Linked DNA regions of Arabidopsis thaliana. The protein of the gene in region 2 interacts with the protein of the main gene of each other region in a pairwise test. Each region holds a gene or a part of one and is shown on either strand. Other genes may lie near its edges.

Region 1 (11,083 bases), on a different chromosome or scaffold from region 2:
TGGCATGGGCGTGCCAGTAGAGAGAGAGAGAGGTGCATATATGGTGACTCACCAGAAAGGTGTAACAGGTGATGGTTCTCATTCGCATGATTTTTCCCACACTTTTTGCTGCATTTTTTCATTATTATTCATTTTGCAGTCTCAAGTTTTTTCTTAAATAAAAGAAAACAAGGAGTGACTCGTGTACCAATCCATTGATCTGATTTGAACATATTGGTTATCACACATATGTTCCAGAGGAAACAATGAATTATGAAACTGTAATAAAATGATTATAACATGAATAAAATTGATAGATAAGTCATAAGTAATCAAAAGTAGGATCATGGCATATTTTTTTCCTTTAATCATACTTTCGATTACTAGTTCTTTTGGTAATTATGCTGTCATAAATAAAGCGTTAACCAAAATGAAGAGAATTAGAGATTATGGACCGGTTTATTGAGAACCACATTGAATAAACCAAACATTAATAGTACTAATTTTCGCACGTGTGTGTAACGAAAGGCCGTAATTTGGCTAATCGATGAACGAACGTTCCCTCTCTTCTCTGAAATCTTTCTCGATCCATCCATCTTCTCCATTTTCCTCCATTTCTGGGTTTCTTCTCATCTTCCAAGGATTAGGAAATTAGTTTGTTTTTTTTCATCTGCTCAAGTGATGACGACGAGTTTGGATCGGTGGGAGAAAGATCCTTTCTTTCCCGCTGCTGAAGAAGTTCAGGAATCTGCCGACAGGTTTGCGTTTTTCGGATCCTCATCTCCCAATTTTCGTTTTGAATCTGTGATACCATAAACTCTCATTGTTGGTGATGCAATGTCGACGATTCGATTCGTGTTGCTTCGGATTTGGGATTACGATTTCTGATTAATCAAATCAAGTCTTAGATCTGAAATCTCACAATGTGTGTTGTTATCTTCGATTCATGTGTAGGATGGAGTCAGCGTACAGGACATGGCTCAATGGGAAACGAGACTCTTCAAAAGTATGGGACTCTGAGCAGCTTCATAGAGATCTTCACGCAGCTCTTGGAACCACCAAATGGCAGGTTTCTTTCTTTCCTCAGAACTCAGATTCTTAATCTGTAATGTTGATTTATGAAACCTGTAATATTTTTGGTGTAGTTAGATGAATTCCAAAAAGCTGTCAAATCTAGCTATGACAATCGTTTGAGTGATGAAACTAGAGATAGGCATCGTGAGTTTACTTTCGTAATGGAAGCTCAAGTGTCGAAAATCGAGAAATCTCTCAAGGAAGCTGCGCAATCCGATGGGAAAGGAACACCGAGATGGGTTCGTTTGGATGAAGATGATCGTAATGAGCTTGCTCTCTTCTTGACTGGTCCATCTGAATCTGCTAAAGCAAATCCTAATGGACATAGAAGGACTGCAAGTGCTGCTGAATTCAGTGCTTGGAACATTGCGGTTTCTGATGATGGTTTAGTGAAGAAATCTTGTGATGAGCCAGTGGTTCGACCTCCGAGGAAAGTACCTAGCTTCTCTGGATTCTTGAATTATATGGATCCTGTGTCCAAGCATTGCAATAGAAAGTGGAAGGGTTTAGATCGTCAAGGAGACTCTGATGCTGCTTTATTACCTATCCAAGCTAACCAAGTAAGTTTGATCGATCGATCTCCAACCGCAAGATTTTTGCCTCCTGCTTTGAAAATCTTTGCTAAGAAATGCTTTTTATTTTTTTGTTTCTCAGCAAGATATGAATGGATGTTCAGAGAGGGGCAAGAGTTGTATGGAGTGTGAGGAGGACTGTTATGAAAAGCAGCTTCATGGTTGGTATGGAGCTCTACAGAGGCAACTCCAACGGTCTCAGTATCGAATGCGATATAGTAAATCGGTTCACGCTGCAATTTGGATTATTCTTTTAGTTTTTCTTATTGGTAAGATTTACTGAACTCTGAATCATTTATGTTTAGAACGCAAAGCTTACTGCATCACTTTTGAGTTTTGAGATAAATTGTTTTTTTTTCTGATTGCAGTGGTAGTTGCAGTGCATTCAATGTAGAAGAGAGGTTTGGAATAGCAAGGTTCGAGTTCATTCATCTTCTGTGTAACAGCGAAAGAGACGAATTTGGCAATCCACATTTTTACTGTACAGTAAATTCCAACTGTTTTTGGTTGTTTGTAATATAGAAATGCATTTTTTTGGTTCGATTATTTGAAACGGGTTTCATTGAGCAATCATTGTTTTCTTAGGCACCAATCCTATTAACCATTGTAGAATTATTTGGGACTAAACCCAAGATTGAAGTGGAACCTTCTAAAAATGACAATTCAGAATACAGAAATGCATTTCGTATTGGATTATTTGAAGTAACCGTTTCATTGAGAAATAAGAAAAGGTGTCAGAATTCTTTTACAATCAATCCGAGCAGAGTATTGAAGCACACGACTGCTTAAGTGGAGTTTTTGGACATGTTAGCCACCACCTCCTCCCGTTTATCGGCAGTCTCTAACTCGATGCCTTGAAATGTAAGTCTAGATGAACGATAGTGACTCCCAAACGCAGTCCCGAAACCCCACCCGAGGCCCAAACCCACCCCGCAACCGCCACCTTTGTCAAATACCAGACGCATAAGTTACGTAATTAGAATTTAGGAAAAACCTGCTCGGTGTGTATCTATGCGAGTGTGGGATATTTGAAGTAGAAGTTTGAAATGCTTACCAGCACCAACACCTAAGATGTTCATAGGCATTCCTGCATGAAAGCAACGGAAATCTCCAATTCAGTAGGTTTGCAAAATAGTATGAATCCATCAAAATGTAAGCGCAACTGATACTAGCTATGCGTTTAAGCAACCATTAGCTAGGAAAGAAGAAGCATTTGAGTAAAGATGATATGTAGGAGTTGATAATCTCTATAAGAGACATTAAGCAATATGATCACAAAACTAAACAAGCACAGCAGAGTGCATTGCACATCCCATAGCAACTAGCAAGAGAATTGTTCCAATAGAATTATCTTGTAATTCAGTCCAGATTTTGTTCAAGTAAAAGCAGAAAAAGAGAGAAGTTGAGAACGAACCTCCAAAACCCCATCCAACGCCAAATCCACAACCAACACCGAACCCTATGAATTCCAATAACTAAATTACGATTCCAATCAAAATTAAAAGGAGAAAACAATTGCGAATGGGGGCATTACCAAATCCAACACCGACTCCAGTGAAGTCAGAGAGCACCATAGTGATCTTCACAAGAAAAAAAAAGAAACCAATTTAGGAATCTATAAATTCAAATGAGCAGAAATTGCGAATCTGAATTACCCGATGATACCTTGTTTGTTGTTGGTAATCGGTGAATCTGGTAGATTGCTCTCTCTACCTCCCCCACTTAAAATCGCAAGCCCTGAAAGCAAGAGAAGAAAGGTGAAGACGATTTGTTTTAGAGACGTACCAAATTAATCGAACCGGTTTAACTAATGAACCGGGATTATTTTCAAAATGATTTTATGTAAAAGAATTTGGTCAACAGTGAACCGGCCTAATTCTTTTTCTCAAGGTCAACAACAGTCAACAGTAAAATAAAACGATCTAGTGAGCAAATGGATCAATCCATATGCAAAAATGCTCATGTCCCATTGAAATCCAACTCACAAATAGGATTTGGATGGTTGAGACAGACAAACAGATAAGTACTTATGGCCATTTTTTGGAGTAAACTAATGAGCAACGGTTTGAAATAGACAGTAGGAGGAGAAATAACATTTACTAGTTTGTGCTACAAAAGAAACTACACTCACACTATGAATTTATTGATATACAATACAAGGAAGATCGTATTCATCAGTTCCAATTGGTATGGATGACCAAGTAATATTTCTTTATACTATATGCTATTAGGTGAAATAGATGGGAGCTTCTATCATAGTATATGAAACAATATTATAAACTAAAAATTGGACTGACCTTACTAAGACTACACATTCCTAACATTATGCGGCAAAAAGAACGAACTTCTCCTGCTGTCTATTTACAACTTCAACGAAACTTCCTACAAGAATTTTAGCTTCGACAATAGCAAAAGTAAAATAACCGGTCTAGGGTTTGTTTTTGAATGAGTTATACACATTGATCTCCTGCTTCTTCACATCAACCATTTTTATGGCCGTGCAATGTCCTAATTTTGGGGCCTTGAGATAAGTCTTCAACGTGGGAATCAAATCTGAGTTCTGAAGGTGGAATGAAGCAATCTATAGACAAGCCAGGGACATTGAACGAGATTTCATCGATGACCCATGCTTCTTGCATTGTGGTCTTAGTGTTATGTCCTGATGACATATCTCCAAACCTTAAAAGCGTAGCCACGGATCTACCAGAGTGAGCTATCATGATACCTTCGACAGGTTTGTAGTCTTCTAGGTATGAGTTGATGGTCGTCTCCCAGTAAACCGCTTCGCCTCCATTGTTTTGGATTCGGGTTAGCTGGGAGTCTTCTAAGTGAACAAGCAGACCGGTTTTTTGGCTGAAGTAACCGAACAACGTATGTCTTATGGTCTCTGATGCCCCTTCGCTTCTAGCTTTGAGTGTTGCCGGGTCTGCACATAGCTTGAGAATGAAACAGTCTTCTCCATCGATCTTTTTTTCTCCTATGCACCTTGCATTTGCAAACATATACGCTGTGGTCCTCGGGTCAAGTCCCTGAAAGTTGACAACAGTAACAATTCAGTTATGCAAGCAAAGAAAAGTGTATGAGAAGGCTTCCTTGGGACAAGAGGCCTAACCTGCAGAGCACGTCGTAATGGTCTAACCGGTCCTTTTGCAGCATGAGGTCCAAGCCATGGTGTGTGTCTCCACACAAGCTTCCCGTCACAACCTGCAAGAACCTTGCTCCCACCAAGAACAAGCTCCATGTACCACATATCAGGATTCATATGCCACAACACAAATCCTCCAGACTCAACAGCTTTTGACGAATTATTCTTGCTCTTTGAACCTTTTGAGCCTGTCTCAAACTCTGAAGCCATCGTCCTGATTCTTCCCATAACATATCCATTTTGCACAGAACTATGAAGCTTTTGACCTCCTGATGCAGCCGTATACTGCTGAAGTATGTACTGAGCAGAGGAAGTCTCCTGAAAATTCAAGTATTAGTAAGAGTCATTAGACTTTACCCTCAACACATTAAAGCAGAGATAAAACTTGATAAATCTCAATTAATTGCGCAGTCTTTCTCCGTAATTAGTAGGCAACTAAAAGAAGATTCAGCTAAATTCAAGCTAGATTATGGCACAGAAGAGCTTAATTCAACATGATTAACTCCAAATCCCCAACACTGTCCTAATTTTGAGGAGACAACAGTGAATTAAGAGCTCACCATAGGTGTATTCTTGATACTGAGGTGTGGAAGGAGATCCAGAGCGCTAACGTGCACAGGACCTAAAGGTGCGCCAAGAACACCGAGGAGAAGCCTCAGATCCGTTCGTTTGAAATCCGAAGAGGACGATACTGACGGCGGAGCCACCGGAAGCTGACATTTCATCCAATTGTACCAACGTCTCTCGAACCTAGAGTAATCACCACTGCTTCCGGAGTCTTCAGCGTCTGGATCAGGACCTTCTATAACCGGAGCAAGCATCTCAGACATGTGCCGGTCCGGTTGTGTGACGTAACGGCCTTTCCGGCGACGGATGATGATCGGAGAGACGCTTCTGACTGGACTCTTGGATCGTGGTCGCCGGGAATTAGACTTGGAGAACAAGCCGTGCTTCTTATCCATAGTCGGAAGAAGAAGAAGGAAGTGTTGTTAGTAGTGTGAGAGAGAAGACGCAGGTTTGGTGATTAGAGAAAAAAGAGAGAAATGTTTGCGTCGAAGGGAAGGTTGCAAAATATAAATGTCGAATTTAATTCGTTAATTCGCTTTTTTAACCATTTCTTTTGGAATTTAATTATTCTTTTCTTATTTTGGCTATTATTTAGGGTTATACACATTTTTTTTCTCGACATCGTTGAAATTATGAATCACTGCTTCTCGAATAAAAACTTTTAAAAGTCTCATTATTACAGGCAAATGGGATTCGGGATAAGATTTAATTATGAAAATTGGTATAAGAATTTTTTTGTTATTTTTTTCTATTGAAATGGTTTTACATTCCATTTATAAGACATAAAACATTCATATTTGTCTTCTTTCTCTCAAGTCTTTTTTTTGGGCTAACTCGTTCCACATTGGATAAGAAGAAAACTTGTTACAGTTTGTGACCACAACAACGAGTTAAAAGGAGTTGCTTAATATGTTTTGATTTTTTCATAAAAGTTGATAATATGTTAATCATTATATATATATATATATATAATACTTTATTTCAAAAGCAGCATAAATTAGTGAGCAATTAGCCTTAAGGAACACGAAAGGCATGCTCTTAGAGATGGAAATTAATTAAAGTCAAAACAAAGCAATTGAGTGTTATATTACTATTTTAACAAAAAAAAAAAGGTGTTATATTACTAAAAGCAATATACAATATAGACGAGTAGGGTGTGCATGAGCATGAGCATAAGTCACAAAAGGTCAACATAACACAAAATTATTAAAAATAGTCTTCCTTTTCTGGAGTTTTCAATTTGATTCATGGGACCAAATTAGAATGGATATATATTTATATGGTTGCTTCTTACTCATTTTCATCTTTAACCTCAAATAACCATTTTCCATGGTACTTCTAAACTCTCAAGTGCGCCTTTGTGTGTTCAAACAGAAAAATAATTATGGACGACAAAAGAAAAAAAAATAACTTTTCTTATGTTTTTTTTTTTTTTTTTGTCGTCCATATTTAGTTCATATAATTGTTTTCTTAGTTTTGTTTTACCAGTCTAAAATACCTTATATCTAGTTTTAAATACCTTATATATAAGTGTTTGACAAAAAGTAAACAAATAATCATTTATAAGATTTTTTTTTTCTACAATCACACACGATTTTGATATCAAGTTATTATAGCTCAGGTTCATTCTTACTTACCAATAACCCTATTGAGCGGACGATCATTACAGCGGACGATCATTACTTACCAAAAACTTGTGTTGTGATTTTGTGCTATTATCTTCACTATGATATGATGATAAAATATTCTCTCATATATCGTCAACGTGAGGCGGGAAGTAACGGTGCCATGAGGCCGAGAGAATATAAAATGAATAAAATTAAAAAAGCAGTCGGTGTATGTAATTATAACTGGTGATGATAAATATTGAGCATGCGAGTTTGGTCCAGTGATAATGACAACTTTTCTGCCAACAATCTTTGGGAGGCCCAAACACACAAATACTAAAATTAAAACCAAAAACAGTCTTATGGACTATATACTTAACTCAAAGGATACTTAATGTGAGAAACCTTCTCTGAAAGTTTACGTTTCATGCATACTTGTATATTTGGGTTTTTGTTTTAACTCAAGAATCAAGATTCAAAATTAAGAAAACTAGGGATGTCCCATATACAGTTGCAGACATAAAAAGTTAGGAGACTTTTTCAGGACTGTTGGCCTTGGATTAATTTGACACTAATTGAGTTGGTGAGGTAGCTTCTAGTGGTCCTTACCTTCTCTAAAGATCAGACCATTTAGTCTTCAGAACCTATTCTCTCATTCTCACTGCAATAAGAGACAAGAGTTTTATGACTCTTTTTATAGTCCCATAAAACTCGAATGAAATATCTATAATTTGTAAAGTGTATATATGGATGGGAGTCTCAAGTCTTGTGTTGTGACTTGTGATCGTGAGAGTGAAGAATTTTACACATGCTTTTTTCTCGTCTGTTTGTGATTGGTTTCTCTCTGTGTTTTACGTAATCATTAAGATTTACCAAGATTAACGATCACGTTTAAAGTTGCTAAAACTGTCATTCGTTTGTGCCTCTTGTTTTATTAAATTATTAATCGAACGTAACTAGTCTCGTTACAAAATCACAAGAAGCCACATACACTGCTCCTAAAGAGAGGTTTAAAAGCTTAAATATGCAGACCATCTCTAATGGTGGCGTTCTTCAGCACAACGGTGATGCCTGATCTTATGTGAAACCCTTCCTCTGGTCTATCGCCTTCTTCCACGCCCTGCCACAACCCAACACAACAAAAAATCAGACAACCATTTCTTCAAAATAACCAAAAAGATCTTTGAAAACATACATCTGCATTCGCTATGACCACGTTCTTCCCGATCTTGGCGTTCTTGTCAATGATACAGTTCTTGATTTTTGTGTTCTGGCCAACCCCTACCGGAACTTTCCCTTCCGCCAAAAGAGACGCGATCTCAGCTTCCGTTTGGTAGAAATCAGCTCCCATCATCATTGTATCCTGAAGCTCTACTCCAGACTCGAGACGTGATCGTATGCCAACGATTGAGTGCTGCACACTGCATTCTCTCAAGAAGCATCCATGTGAAACTATGGAATCAAGTATCTGCAATTCCATAATACACTTTACAACATGAGGATCGATGAATCATTAGCTGAAACAACGGGATAATCGAATTCAAGATATTGTACCCTGCATTTATCAACTTTGGTAGGTGGCAAGAATCTTGGAGAAGTGAAGAAGGGTGTTTTTTGATCGTAGAATTGGAATTTAGGAGGCTGCCAAAACAGAAACAAATAGCATGATTAGGTTTCACTGAGTCACCACCCTGCACTGGAGATGAAACAATAAAGAGTCGGTGAAAACCTGTTCCGTGAGGGCTAAATTGGCATCAAAGAATGATCCTATGGTTCCAATATCCTCCCAATAGTCATTGAACAAAAATGCCTATGTAGCAGCAAGTTAATAAATAAAGGTCAGAGGAAACACAAATATTGATTGATGATGTGATATGCTAAACAAAAAATGAAGAAAAACCAGACCTGAACATTATGCTCCCCTACGGCCAACGGGATAATTTCAGAACCAAAGTCATTGGATGTAGGATAACTTGACCTTAGAAGCTTTAGCAAAACCTCTTTTCTAAATACGTAAACACCCATCGATGCAATGTATGGGGACTCCGCAGCTTCTTTCGGTGGTAAACCAAGAATGGAAGTGTCAACTTGCTGAAAACGCAAAAAACATTTAAGTTCTCGTAATATTGCAAGCAAGAAACTGAACGTTTTGACAAACAAAATAAATCATTACCATTGCCTTTAAGTCATCTCCCTTTGGTTTTTCCGAGAATTGAATGATTTTACCAGACTGGTCAATTTTAAGCAGCCCAAAGTCCGAAGCACGGCTGTGAATAAGGAAAAACTCAAATAAGTTCATCGAATAAACAAGGCAAGAAACAATGTTAATGATCCTCAGACACACCTCTCATCCATGGGAAGACAAGAAACTGTGATATCAGCATTGGACTCAATGTGCTTCTGCAAAGACGAGAAATGAAACAAAGTTTACATGAAGCTCAGTGTGGACAAATAAGAAAAATAAAACTAACCTGCACAAAGTTCATGTAATCCATCCGATAGAGATGATCCCCAGACAAGATCAAGACATGTTCCACATTCTTTGTCTTGGCATCCTACAGAAACACCGCCATATCATGTTTCCAACAATGTACAAGAACACTTACTAAGAGATGAAAGACAAAAGAAGACCTCAAAGACCCATATAAACTGCCTAACAGCATCAGCAGTTCCCTGAAACCATTTCTTTCCTGCATCTCCGGAAGTTTGGGTTGCAGCAAGGACCTAATCATCTCCAGAGGAGAAACTTTAGTAGCAAATAAAAACACAGGAAGATAAATCTAATCTATGGCAGGTAATGGTATCACCTCAACAAACCCATCACCAAAATTGACTCCATTGCCAAAGTTGTAAGTACGAGACAAGTGGCGATTGAGAGAAAATGAGTTGAACTGAGTTAAGATGAAGATCTTTCTAATACCACTGTTGATGCAATTGCTCATCGGTATATCTATCAGCCTGTAACACCCTCCAATTGGCACCTACGATTATTAACAAGTTTAAAACCTCATTGACAATGAATCATAAGAAACAATGGACAAACAAAACAATCCTCACCGCAGGTTTAGCTCTCTTGCTTGTAAGAGGGAACAAGCGAGTCCCAGCACCACCACCTAGTATGATAGACGCTACATTCTTAGGGTCTGCATTTTGAGTTCTCAACAGAGGTTCCTGAAAAATGATTCTTTATATCAGAATAGGACTTGGAAGAAATAAAGCTACCAAGGGACTTAATTTAAGAAAAGAAGCTTCAATTCACTAAACCAGAAAATTTTGATTGATGACAGACTCTCCTGCCCAACCAAACCTTAAAAGCCTTATTAGCCAGCCCTCACTAAACTGCTCAACCAACTCACAATCGCTACCATCTGCTAAATTAAGTCCTAGGCTAGTTATAGTAGACCTAAAGCTAAACTTTGAGCAGTTGCAACATCTTACCACCATAAGAAGTCATTTTCAACACAGTCCAAATCAAATTCCCACCAAACATGGACACACAGAATTGATGCTAGGCAGACTCAAATGCACAAGTAGAACTAATAAACCAAGGACTTCAATTCATTTCCAAGGAAACAGAGAATCTTTTTTTTTTTGGTTTGGGAATTGCAAGTGTAAAATATTCTTACATGAGACTCTTGATCAACAAATGGAGTAAGAACGGAGCGAATGAGGTTTGTCTGAATCTTCTTCTGAGGTGCACTCCTAAGTTTCGTTGTCCTCAAATGATTGGGCTTGACAACTTGGGTTCCCCAGAACGCACTAACTCTCTCAGAGACAATTTCGTTGTTGAGACCAAAGGTACACTGATTCAGCTTCATGGCAGGAAAGCAAGACTCCATATTTTTCCAGAACAAGACAGATTCTACAACTTATTAAAAAAATGCAAGGGAAATGAAGTAGAAGAGATAGATCAGATTCTAAAAAGATATCAGCTTTCGAAAAACCCAGATAAAAAAATTGGAACTTTTTCAATAACCCAGATTCGAATTTTGGGTAGTGAAAACGAAACAGTGTTGGAGAGAACAGAGAAGTCGACTAATTTTGTCCACAAGGAAGTTGTGAAATAGTGAGAAATGAGTGTGTGATTGAGTGAGAGAGAGAGCTTTAACTTTTGGCAGTGGAAAGAGAAACGGAACAGA
Region 2 (13,351 bases):
TAACAAAGAGGAGAAGATCAATAAATTTTCCATGCAGGTTTGTGAAAATTTTTCCGTCCTCCTTCTTTTTGAACTTTAACTTGCTACTATTGGACCACCAATGTGATTTACTATTTCGTTATGGCCATTGATATCCAATGAGCTATATAATAGCTAGATCCAAAGAATAAGCTCATGCGCATAATCCGAAAGATTCATTTGCTACTTCTAGTGCATGTGCTTCAGATGTTCCATCCACTTTTTTTTGTCTATGATCATTTTTTACTGGTGAGCTTTGATTAGCAGCTTATCCAATGCTTCATCTTTTATCAAGAATTGTAGACAAGTAGCTTTTATAAAGTTTTAAAATTAATTTTTTTTTTGATAAACCCTATCAGCTGATCTGGTCGGTAGAATTGCACCTGTTTTATAGTAGACTTCTCTCCGAAAGACCACCATAAAGTTTGTCCCAAGTTTGGAGTGTTTTCCGAATTTCATGGATAATCAGACCGCCTGCATTTCTAACTACCATGTAAACCAGTTAGAATTTAGCCAAAACCCAACTAACACACTTTTCAGACAAATGTGTTTTTTTTCCAAAGATGGTCGAACTTAGATATAAAAATTTCACTCTTGACCAAAATTTTCTCTACCATATTGAGTAATTCAATTCTCTCTCTAAAAATTAGAGAAGTAACCCTCTAAACCAAATCATTTTAAAATGTATATAAAAACTCATTTAAATCATGATCAATTACAACATTATATAGAAATTCTCTCTTCTTCGAATCTCTCAAAGTAAGATGGTTATAATCATGTGTGTGGTTTCACTAATTAAACAAAGACACTTTGATTTTCACAATGAAATCAACATATGCCTTCAAAAACATTTCACATCCCAAAACAAATTTTAATATTCAAATACTTTTCAAAAATTAAAATTAAATTATGCTTTCAGGGGTATATGAAATTACTTTAATTTCCATATATCAAAGTTAAAATGTGCAACCATATTTGGATTTTATAAAATTTAAACAAAACATTAAATTTAAAATGATTTTTCTTAAAATATAAAAATATTATGTATGAATAGAATGAAATTTCTTCTTAAAAAAACGTTTCAAGAAGATAAAATTTATTTAAGGGGATGAACCTTATTATTTACAGTTCAGAAAATAATAAAGAAATTGATTGCTAATAATAAAATATTGACCAAAATTTAGAAGTAAATATTACACATAGACTTTTTGTTAACCCTAAAAAAACCTTTTTCGTTTTTTTCCTTTCTTTTATATATATAGGATAGGATAAAACCATTCATAAGTTAATAAATCTGCACACATATACTCTCTTTTTTATTACAGTTCACGCATTGATTGCAAACAATAAAACCAATATTGACCAATTAACTAGAAGTAAATATTATTAATAAAAATATTTTTTAACATGATGCACTCAAATAAAAAATATTTTTAGATTTTTTCTTTCTTTTGTATATAGGATAAAGAAAGACCATTCATAAATTGATAAATCTTGCCAGTACCAAATTTAGGTAACTAGTGATTCTGATCCACACGTATACTCTTTTTTTTTGTACATATATTTAAATGGGGAATCTAAGCTAATGGAAGAAAATAAACAATAAAAATAAAAAAGATAAACAGAAGGAGAAAGTAGACCAAAGTTACATGACAACTAGGAAACAAAAAGTTCGAAAAGAAACCGGATTTGTTCTGCTCGGTTAAGTTCCGGTTTAGTTCAGTATGAACAAATAAAAGTAAAACAAACGAGGGACGTGTGTATGGAAGAGGCAAAGGCTGAGAAACTTTTGGTTGGGACAATTTGCTTAAGTAATGACTAATGAATGACCCAAAAGAAAAATCCTATTAACTCTTTCTTCTTAAGCCAACTTGCTTTCTTCTTCAACATTACACATTACGTGTAACTGTAATTAATTAAAAATCTTTACACATTGAATTATTAGTTTTTGTTTATTCGTTGATTTAGGCATTTAGCAATTCAATTCAGTCTTTGGAAACTGTTCTTATGACTGACCCTTTTTAACTTTTTGATTCAATTTCCTTAAAATATTAGTTTTTATTTTGGGTTATATGGTAAATTACACATTGCCGTCTCGTCCTAATAATCCTCTTTTCTGTTCCCATTTGTGTTGTTGTGCTTTGCTTCCTTCCTTTTTCCTCATTCTCTCTTCTTCTCCTTCTTCCTTCTCCTCCACCACAAAGCGGTAGGTTTCTCTCTTCAACAATCGGTGAGTCTCTTTCGTTTTCATTAAGAATCTTCATAAAGTTTTGATTTTTATTGTTCTTAGATCGATTTATGTTCTGTATCTGTTTGGTTTTGGTTTTGATTTTGATTTTTGTGTCTTTTCTGGGTTCTATTGGGTTTTCAAAGCTCGATCGAAATAGATAAGAATCGGTTGGTGGGTTTTTTGAAAAATAGTTTTTTTTTTGAAATTTTGTGTCAAATTCTGTAGAATTGTTGTTGTGGTGAATTTATTATTCATCAGAAGGTAAAAAAATTATTTTTTGTTATTGGGTTTTAGATGTTTGAATCGGATCTTTACTTCTATGAGCTTGTTTTATGAGAAAGTTTGATTCTTTGAGGTTTTTGAATTGTTTTTTATTGTGATGATGCTTTATCTTCAAGCTGTGGGTTTCTTTTGTCTTTGCTTTTACCTTGCTGTTTCAATACATCTTTGCTTGGTATTGAGGATTTGTGAAACTTCATACGCTGTTGCATCTATGGGTAGTTGATATGTCATTGATGAGGCAGTGCTTATTTTGATATTTCTCTTGTTTTTCTGAATTGCCATTGTGGTGGTAGTTGAGTAAAATGTTTTTCACTCTTTTCCTTGTTTCAAAATTGGCATGCTTGTTACGTGGTCCTGGATTTTGTTTGTACCTCATTTTCATTGACGCTTTGTTTCGAAGTTGGCAGTTAGGTGTCAATTTGATAATTTAGACTTGAAGTTCTTTTGTGTTTAGAATGGTTGATCATATGAATTTTCTATCGCATCTGTCCTCTTATTTTTTAAGCTTGTTAATAACTCATGTGTCATTAGTTTCCTACTGAATCATTTGTGTTTTAGTTAGGCGTCGCATCTAGAAGTAAGTTGCATTTAGTAGTAGTTGCAGCGGTCTTGCTTTGAGTGACTTTTGCACCTTGTGCTCTTCTAGGTGAAGCAGATTATATGACTGTATATGCAATCTCAGGGTGCCATTTATTATTACAATTGTAGGAGCTATGTTTTGATTGAGTGTGTTTATATGTTTCTTATTACAGTTGACATCGTGTAGAAGCCTTTTCCTTGTCTTTGTTACTGAAAGATCTACTGTCTTTGTTGTTTTGCAGTCTCCCCATTAGGCACATTGTTGAGGGCAGGGTAGTCTCGTGAGTTCTCTTCTCCTGAGTGTAACTGTGGTTAAAAGCTTAGCCAAGATGCAGGGGGAGAGGGCCAGTCTTGGCTATTTATCAGAGGCCTTGAACTTTGAGCATGGTTCTTCTTCAAGTAATGGTGTGATAGATCATTGGGAGAATATTCACAGTCTTGGTGATAATGACTTGCAGGATTACATGATTGCAAATTCTGAATCAAATACTTCGCTTGCAAACTCAGTTTATCACGAGCAACAGGGTTTACGCAGATTTAGCCTTGGTGAGGCTAGCTCTAGTGGCACGAAGGATGAAGCTTCCAGTCACAATGAGCAACGAATGGAAACAAGATGCTTTGACGGACGAGGAAATGAAATAATTGATTTAGACCCAGTGTTTGCGCAGCCATCAGGCACAAATCAACCTGTTCAGAATGTCAATCTGAATGCAGAGTATATAGAAATTCACGAGGATATTAATCCATATAGAGGTCGGTCTGGCTTCATAGAAGCTAATGGACCAGGGACCAGGGTCTCACAACCTGGCAGATCTTTTGAAGAGAACGGTGTTGGAACAGGTTCTTCTGTAGAGGGACGTCGTGCATCCTGCAAAAGAAAAGCTCTTGAAGGCAGTATTAGTCAATCTTCTTCAGGAGGTTATCATGATTTCCAGCGTGGAGAAAGCAGTTCGTGGACCCCAGGTTCTACGGTTTTTAGGCCAGGAAATGGTTTAAACATATCTGGCTCCCTTGACAATGGACCAAGAGGAATGGTCTCCGGTACTGTACCAAATTTTCCTGTTTCTGCACCAAATTTTCCTGTTTCTGCCATTGCAGAGAGCTCCAGTAGAAATATATGCGTCAGGAGTAATCCCTCAGATCATCAAGAAACTGTAAACCCATCTACCTTTGCTGCGGGAACTGTTGTCAGGCGGCCTGTCCCTCCATCCCAGTTGAACTTGTCAAGACACTTACCAGCAGATCAGCATTCATTGGACTTGAGACCTGGACAGTCTTTTGTCGTTTCTCGTAACCCAAATTCTACTCCTGTGAGCATACCACCTGGTTCAAGGACTATGCTACCACCATTTCGGTGGACTGGGAGCTCACTAGTGGGTGGAACATCGAACTCTACTGCGCCCGTTGAGAGAAATCTTCATCTAGATGAAACCAGGTCAAGAAGCATACCCGGGAATACTCTTGAGATTCCCATGTTTGCAGCTCCTGAGGTAGGAAATTTTGCCCGTAGTCAGAGTAGCAGAAATGTAACAAATGGAAACCTGAATAGTGCATCATCAGTGTCCAGGACAGGCTCAACAACAAGTGTTCCACCACCACCACCACCATCTTCTAATCTAGCGTGGACTTCTTACCAGAATTCACCACATTATCAAAGAAGAAGGACTGAAAGGTCTGAACTTGCACGTAGGTCCTTGCTTTCTTCCCTTGCAGCAGATGCTACAAACCAGAGATCTGGTGATCATCCAACACTTCGTTCGTTGGCCCCTCCTGCCTCTTCGGATGGGCTTGTGCTTCAGCCTGGTGGTGATAATAGTCAGATGCATAATCGGGCTTACTCGAGAGCAGGTCCGTTGTTTGATAGGCAAGGGGATAGTGTGGTTGGTATTCCTCATCCTTTGCGGGCCTTGGCAGCTGCAAGCAGAGGAAGAAGCAGACTTATGGTGTCCCAGGTCAGTCGATACAAATTCTATTGGCATGTAGCCTTTAACGTGGATGGAATTTGTTAACTTTGGCTCATTCAGTTGCGCATAAATACCATTTGTTTGTTCTTCAGCAGTCACTCAAATAGAACTAACAATACGTTTCTCTTTCCGACAGATGCAGAATGTCTTGGATGTCATGCGTAGGGATGCTAATAATAACAACTTGCGGCTTGAGGTTAGTTTTTCCTGATTGTAGCGAAGTTATCTAAATTCGAACTTGTCTTGTGTCTGTCTCTGTTGATTTCTAGATGAACTAGCCTAATAACTGGAACATAAATAATCTGGATGCTTGTTTTCCAGGACGTTATGCTTCTAAATCACTCAGTACTATTTGATGGGGCTACTGGTCATGACCGGTATAGAGACATGCGACTTGATGTGGACAACATGTCATATGAGGTAAATTAAAAACCATAGTGAACCATAAATCTTTGTCTGAGTCACGTTAAATCACTAAATCTAACTCCTTTTGGTTCATAAACTGTAGGAATTGTTGGCACTAGAAGAGCGGATTGGAGATGTTTGTACCGGTGTAAACGAGGAAACCATATCAAACCGGTTAAAGCAACGAAAATACAAAAGCAACACAAAATCTCCACAAGATGCAGAGCCATGCTGTGTTTGTCAGGTAAAAATATACTAGTTACTGAAATAGCATTTAAAAGGTATAAGATTGTTTTTCGTCCGAGTATGAATGGTGAAAACTTGGTGCAGGAGGAATACACCGAAGGAGAAGACATGGGGACACTAGAATGTGGGCATGAATTCCATAGCCAATGCATTAAAGAATGGCTGAAACAGAAGAATCTTTGCCCAATCTGCAAGACTACAGGCTTGAACACCGCGAAGAAGCGGAGGATAGCATGATGATTTCTCGAAAGAGCTTTTTTTTTTTCTTAACTATTCAATTTTATAATCAAAAATGAAAGAAACAGAAGGTACCCTCAAGCCCCCACACCATTGCAGAGCCAGGCAAGTTTGTCCCCAATTTTTTTTAAAAAAAAGATAGAATTTGTTCGTATTTATAATCTGAGTATGAAAGATGGAAAGATTTGGATTGAAGGGAAAAGATAAAGGGTGGTAGGGAAATGTTGTTTTTTTCTTTTATGGATTTGTTTGGATAATTTAATTTTACCCATTGTCAATTAAGTTTATGAATCCTTTGAAAGAAGCAGGAAGTTGAATCAGCCGATTTTGAGAGAATACTTACTTTGAAAGCCCATATGTTGTTTTGAGTTACCTAGTTTGCTCTAATTGGTTACAAAAGTTTTAGGATGCAAAAATGTTGCAATTTTGGAGAAACAAAATCAAGTTGGATATGTGCAAATGGTTGTCCCTTAAGAGGCAGAGTAATAAGGTGAACAAGTTGAGTAAAAATTTAGTTGGAAGAATAAAATGAATAGATTGAGAGAAATAAGTTGTGTGTTGTTTAACTTGTTATGCTCGTATGATGGGACTTTAAGAAAAGAGATTTTATGGTAAATAGTAGAACTGTAGAGGAATGCAAAGGATTACACGTACGCTTTGAATGGTAGATATGGGCAAAGCGGACTAAAACAGTAACGGATTATAGTTTATGAATGGTAAACGAAAATCTCTTCAAACAAATGGATTTGTCTGTCCTAACCATCACAACCATTCCGGACTACAATATTTTTCTCAATTTTGTTACTCTAAATTAGAAATGTTTTGCATATATACTAAGGAGAACAAATCAAAAATCAAACTCTATTTGAAAGTCTTCCTAGAAATAGTAGCCCTCCAATATACAACAAGGCTAAGAAGAGCCGAAATTACCAAAGCAATGACCAACATATTGGAATTTGCCAATGCAACAACCAACAAATCCTAGAGGATTTACGGATCTCAATCATGTCCAAAGTCAAATGCAGAAAACTAAAGAAACTGAGGCTAGTCTTCAAATCATTAAGAGAAATGTTGATGACGTCCCATTCTTATCGACGGCACATGTTGACTTAAGTAAACGGTCCTGGAGGATATACGAATCTCAATCTTCTCTAGAGCTGTGACAGTTGCTTATTTCATTTGCGAGTTTTCATTCTGCGACTTATGTCATTAGGCGATTATGCGGTGTTACCAAATTTGAAACGAAATTGCATGTGGATGCATGTATTTATTGATGATTCCATTATGCTAAGTTACTTATCGTTTAGATTTTATATACTAATGTTTGTTGAGTGTTACACAAGAAAAAGTATCATGTTCATGACTCTTCGCGGTTGTACGCACGTCTGAAACTAAAGATGAATAAAGTTTGTAGTAGATTCCGAATGCCTTTTACCGTGAATATCTGGTGAAAGTATGGTATTTTCAACATTTTTCAAGAAATAAGGTGTATTGAAATATTTCGACCCAAGTACTACTACTAGTCATCGAGGCAATATATGTTTTTAGTACCAGATCCTTCGAATCATATAACCCTCGTGATGAGAATAAGTTTGGCTTGTGAATATAGATCAACCTTTATCAATGGCTAAAATTTCAGAATTTGTATTGATTTTGTTTTTCTTTTTTGTTTTACCTCATCCAAAATCATAAACACATACTATAATTCTTCAAGTTGAATTCGATTTCACTCTTTCTCGGAACACTATAATCCTACTCGCAAACCCAAATTTCCTCTTTTGATTTCATTTGTTGTATATATTAAACAGGTGGAGAATTAAGACAAAGTTCATAAACTAATTAAAATGGAGTTTAGTAAATCAGTTTGCGTTTTAGCACGTGGTCAAACTTCTATAATGGTCATAAACGGAGTTTACAAAATTTGGTGCCAAAGTTATGCCGCACAATTAAATATAGCTTACTAAAGTGCAAGTGTTCTACTTTTTTTTTTTTTTTATAAAAGTGTCTTCTAATTATTTAGGTTGAAGTTTTATGTGTTTTACTGTAGTAATAATAAAATTTTGAAAACCTGCTTTAAATTGATGGATTTTACGTGATATATATTCCAAACCAAAAAAGAAAGTATATAGAGTGAAATGTCTCGACTCTATCGAGTTTTAAATTTTTAATTAAAATTAAGACAATATGGGTTCTTAATACCTTGAAGATTTGTCAAACCATATTCGTCTCAACTCTCAAGCCTACCATACAACGCATGTGTGAATAATATTGACTTGTGGATATACACCAACCTTCTTGATACGACCATCGTAATCATAATTTATTTATACAATAAACAAATCAAAAGCATAGACTCGTGGCTTAATATGAAATTAATTATATTACTCTTAACATTATAAGTACACAAAGCTAACGTGACTTACCTTGCAAAACAACTCTTCCACGTTTTGAAGCTTAATTAACGTTGACGATTAAACCACAACCCAAAAAACAAAAATGTCTAGAACCAAAAACTACTTTGTGTTGGATCCGAGAGAAGCCACCGTCTCGGATCTTATACATCTTCTCTTCTCATCGGATCTCGGAGATAGAAAGTTCATCCATTCTTCGGAAGAGAGGATTGAGGATGATCTTTCCAGATTCCGGCGACGGTGGATTATCTTTGTATCCATCGTTATTCAAAAACTCATAATTCTCTTTAAGAAACCTCTCTATTTTGTTGGATTTTCTCTTGCTTGTTGGCTCAACCTTCTTTCTTCCAATGGTGGTTTCTTGATGATACTCCCAAATCTTTTCAAAGGTAAGATTGTCTTTTAAGATATTTTTTTTCTTTTGTATACAAGTTCGAGCTAATGGGTATACGTTCGGTTAATTACACTAAAGGTAAAATTCAACGTCGAAACATTAGAATTTCTTCATTAATTTTGAAATCCCAAATGGGAACAACGAAGATAATATACAAATAATTGATGGTTACTATGAATTATACTAGACAAAACATTAAGGTTGTAAGTTACTCCAAATGGGGTTCTCTGCTTTATCATAATCTTTTAATTAATTGAATTTTGAAACCAAATTTGAGAGATGACCTACAATAAAACTCAATTGGTGACACCAATGCGATTACCTTAATTTTATAACCTTTTTTGTGCGAAATCCGCTGTATGAATATCGTGAGGTAGACCCTAACTTTTAACAAATATATTATTTTGTAACTATTTTAGGAAACATTATTTGGCCGGAAAAAGCATCAGCGACGTTTGCATCACTAAACGGAAACCTAGACCGGCGGGTAGAGTTAAACCCGAAAGTAGAGAGAGGAAGTAAAAGATACAAAGCAATGTTGTCAATTATGGCTTCTAAGCTGTCTTACGAGAATATAAACTTTGTCAGCTCCGTTCTTCACAACCATTGGAAGGTTTTATTCTTTAATCTTTTCCTTGTTGTTTACAACTTTTACATGTTGCTAGAAAACGATAGTAGTTTTGTTTTGCTCATTTAAATTCACGTTCTATCATTAAAATGCATTTTTGGATCAAATTTGTTGAATATGACTGGTAATAAAAATAGATTAAGAAACTGAATTTCTTCGACATTTTATTATAACTTCACCAATCATATATATAAAACACAGTACTCTATATCCGCTGGAAGAAAAAAAAGAGAAATTTTCCTTTCCCGTAACATATTGAAGAAAATAACTTCTGTTAAATTGAATTTCTAGTTTTTCTCCATACTTTTACTATGCTATACACACTAGTCACAGTCAATATAATTTCGTTTGCCTAGTAAATGAAAAATGATTCTTTTTTGTTTGAAAAATTATTTTACTTTTTGTTGTCAATAATATACAATACACGGATTTGAATTTGGAATTTAAGAAATTAATAATATGTACTAGCAAAACTTACATATCATCTTCTATATATAATGTCTATAGATGATAACAATCAATTTTGGGATTAAAAAATAATAATTCTAGAGTCTTTTTCTTTTCTAAATAACATTTTTTTTATTGTTATTTTGTTTTCCTTTGTAAAGTAAAAAAAGAGAAGATTTTCCTCGCTTAAAGTTAGTTACATATAAAGACACGACAACTAATGCATATATAATCTCATTTAGCTGCCATCGTCCAATTATTTAACTTATCTAATAGCATGATCATGCATGATTTCCATTGATTATTAAATCATGAAATAATTGTGTTGGACTTATAATCTCTATGTTTTTATTAAATGTGGCACAGATGGACTTATTAGGTTTCTACAGCTGTTGGAATGGTGAGACTAATTCCCTTTTTTTTTTATATTATTGATGAATAATTAACTTAATGGGTCCGAAGAAGGCAAATACCACGTGAAAACACTGTCTGAAATGTGCAATATATTATTTTTCTTAACTAAAAAGAATTTGATTCCAATAATAATACTCAAATCAATGATAGACCAAAAAACTTTATATTTAGTTCAATTTATATATTGTCTTTCCTAAAAATCAATTTATAAAAAGATTAAATTCTCTTACCTTTTTGCCTCTAAATTAAACATAAAATTACGACTAGAAATTTTATGTTTGTATCTTTTAAATAGTTGTCTATGTGTGCTAAAATATTTAAAATTTTTAGAGACAATAACCTCAAATTCTCTAGAATTTAAATTTTCCTAAAATACTTCATATACAGTTTTTTTTTTCATTTTTTTCATATACAGTTTTAAGATCAAATTCATTTTTCTATTTATATTATATAAACAAAAAAAATTAATTTATTTTTTCTTCCTTGGTTTTTAGGTTACCAGAAACAAAGATCAACGGAGGTGATTGTTATAAAGGACACAAGTACAGATCCAAACCTCATCATCGTTAGTTTCAGAGGCACTGATCCTTTCGATGCCGATGATTGGTGTACAGACCTGGATCTCTCTTGGTAATTTTAGTTTCTTTTGTTATAATTTATTTCCACACACAAACAGTCTAGGTTTTTGTTTTTATACTCTTTAAGTTCATCCTTTAGCCCCCCTAATAAAACTAGTATTGATTTCCAAAATAGGTACGAGGTTAAGAATGTGGGAAAGATTCATGGCGGGTTCATGAAAGCTTTGGGCCTTCAAAAAGAAGGATGGCCTAAAGAAGTAAACCTTGACGAAACCCAAAACGCAACAACTCTATATGCATACTACACTGTTAGGCGTCACTTAAAAGAAATCCTCGACCAAAACCCGACATCTAAATTTATATTGACCGGACATAGCCTAGGTGGGGCTTTAGCGATCCTATTCACGGCTGTTTTGGTGATGCATGATGAGGAGCAAATGCTAGAGAGACTAGAAGGAGTTTACACATTTGGACAGCCACGCGTAGGCGACGAGGAGTTTGGAAATTTCATGAAAGATTCACTAAAGAAGTTTGACGTGAAGTATGAAAGATATGTTTATTGCAACGACATGGTTCCTAGGTTGCCTTTCGACGACAAAACACTCATGTTTAAACACTTTGGGGCATGCCTTTACTATGACAGTTTCTATAAAGGAAAGGTTGGTTGCATATATATGACAATCTTGTTTCTTTGCTTTAATCACTCATCCGTCTAATGTCGCTTACGCACTTACCCTACTGATGATATCTATCTACATTGTTGTTGTTTAATTTGTATTATGTTCAGGTAGAGGAAGAGGAACCAAACAAAAACTACTTTAATCTCGTATGGGTTTTACCAAAGATAATGAATGCACTGTGGGAGTTGATACGTAGTTTCGTCATGCCTTATTGGAAAGGTGGAGAGTTCAGAGAAGGATGGTTCTTAAGGTGTTTTAGGGTTGTTGCATTGTTGATTCCTGGATTACCTGCTCACTTCCCTAATGAGTACATCAATGTTACTCTTTTAGGTGACTTACCTGACTCGCATCTTGATTAAATTTTGACGAAGTCATAAATTCTTTTGAAAAGTTGATGTGTTTAGCTTTTCTAGGGTCTCGTTTCGGTGATGTAGGTGTTATTTTCTTATTTTGGCCTTAGATCATCCTTTCTTTCTCGCAATGATTCTACGTCTCACTTTATCTTTATCTGCATCAAGAAAAGAAATGCATAAATATTTCAATAAATACTTAGTGAAACGATTCTCTTACCTGCGAGTTATACACACAAGCAAACCAATATAACAATCAACAAATAAATCATGAAATAAATCAAACCAATGAACAATCATCCATTGACACAACCATCTCGGGGGATTGAATAATGGTACCAAAAATACTGCCTATACATACAACAAATAAATCACACAATCTCAATTGCTTAGATAATCTCATGGTCACATACCCACCTCGAAACAAGAATGATTTTGAAACCAAAAACAACAATCCCACAACGAGCAGTAACTTCCTACTCACCAACAATATCTCAACTCACCATACATCCAACTACAACAGCAAACCAACCTTTAACCTAAATTGGAAAAAATCTGAAAATAACCCAAACAATTGGTCTCAAATATTGAGTCACGAATCGCAATCTAACCGTCCAATTCAAATCTCCACCGTTGAAACTCAACCCTCAAGATGTCCTGAAGCTAACCTCAAAGTTTAGTGATGATCTGACCGCAGGTGCACTCGAGATAATTTGTTTAATACACTCTGGTCTAAATCACGTCTGAAACAGAGGACTTTACGAAAACACAGATAACTTTTAGAATATTAACTCAAATCCAAATCCGCAAAGTGGTAAATCTAGTTATAAGGCTTAGCTACAACTCAATAAAATTTCCGTACCATAGAAGGCTATTTGATTGATCAAACCTCTGTTCTACCACGACATATCTGATATGTCTCTCTCTTCCTTCACCAAAATTATCAAGTAGTTTCCTTTTTGGTGTTTTTTACATAATATTTTTGATATCAAACCAAATTTTTTCTTGTCTTTATACAGAATTTTCTGAAAAAAAATGTTACATAATCTCTTTTACGCAATTATCATCCCATCATGGAGTAGATATAATATTTGTAACAAAATATAGTTTACATAAAAATCATAAATAGTTTGACAAAAAAACAAAGAACAAAAAAAAAGAAGAAGAGAAAAATCATAAATCCTGTCAGAAGTACCGGAGCGAGCCTGACTGGAGAAATCGAGAATGGAGGACGGCGAAATAGAGGAAGGAATGGTAACTGCCGACGAATTCCCGACGCCGGAAGTAACTACCATAGAGACTATACAACCTCCCCGAGAGCCAGGAAAATCTCCACTCGAGCTACTTCGAGAGAGCAAAACCTCCGTAGAAGAAATCGTCGCGAAGATGCTCTCCATGAAAAAACAAGGAAACCACAAATCTGAGATTCGAGAACTCCTCACTCAAATGTTCCTCAACTTCGTCAATCTTCGTCAGGTACTTACCAAT

The links.
Region 1: the proteins of AT5G42940 (region 2) and AT1G27690 interact in a two-hybrid assay, tested with the Arabidopsis thaliana proteins (one large-scale study listed by BioGRID).

What each region holds. Positions count from the first base shown.
Region 1 is NC_003070.9:9,631,330-9,642,412, reverse strand, and holds AT1G27690 (lipase, putative (DUF620)), read right to left. Parts: upstream 5,826-11,083; 5' UTR 5,733-5,825; coding exon 5,331-5,732; intron 5,089-5,330; coding exon 4,738-5,088; intron 4,655-4,737; coding exon 4,106-4,654; 3' UTR 3,512-4,105; downstream 1-3,511. Other genes in the region: AT1G27700 (Syntaxin/t-SNARE family protein), read left to right, coding at 661-737, 934-1,048, 1,125-1,613, 1,708-1,894, 1,994-2,019; AT1G27695 (glycine-rich protein), read right to left, coding at 2,411-2,568, 2,680-2,712, 3,040-3,084, 3,160-3,199; APL2 (ADPGLC-PPase large subunit), read right to left, coding at 7,963-8,064, 8,140-8,412, 8,499-8,585, 8,674-8,754, 8,850-9,035, 9,118-9,211, 9,289-9,344, 9,416-9,499 and 4 more.
Region 2 is NC_003076.8:17,209,259-17,222,609, reverse strand, and holds AT5G42940 (RING/U-box superfamily protein), read left to right. Parts: upstream 1-1,937; 5' UTR 1,938-2,248; intron 2,249-3,351; 5' UTR 3,352-3,438; coding exon 3,439-5,061; intron 5,062-5,209; coding exon 5,210-5,269; intron 5,270-5,394; coding exon 5,395-5,493; intron 5,494-5,581; coding exon 5,582-5,722; intron 5,723-5,808; coding exon 5,809-5,961; 3' UTR 5,962-6,281; downstream 6,282-13,351. Other genes in the region: AT5G42930 (alpha/beta-Hydrolases superfamily protein), read left to right, coding at 8,458-8,761, 9,186-9,379, 10,208-10,241, 10,750-10,885, 11,009-11,492, 11,621-11,872; THO5 (THO complex, subunit 5), read left to right, coding at 13,088-13,339. UniProt on the Arabidopsis thaliana protein: Probable E3 ubiquitin-protein ligase that may possess E3 ubiquitin ligase activity in vitro.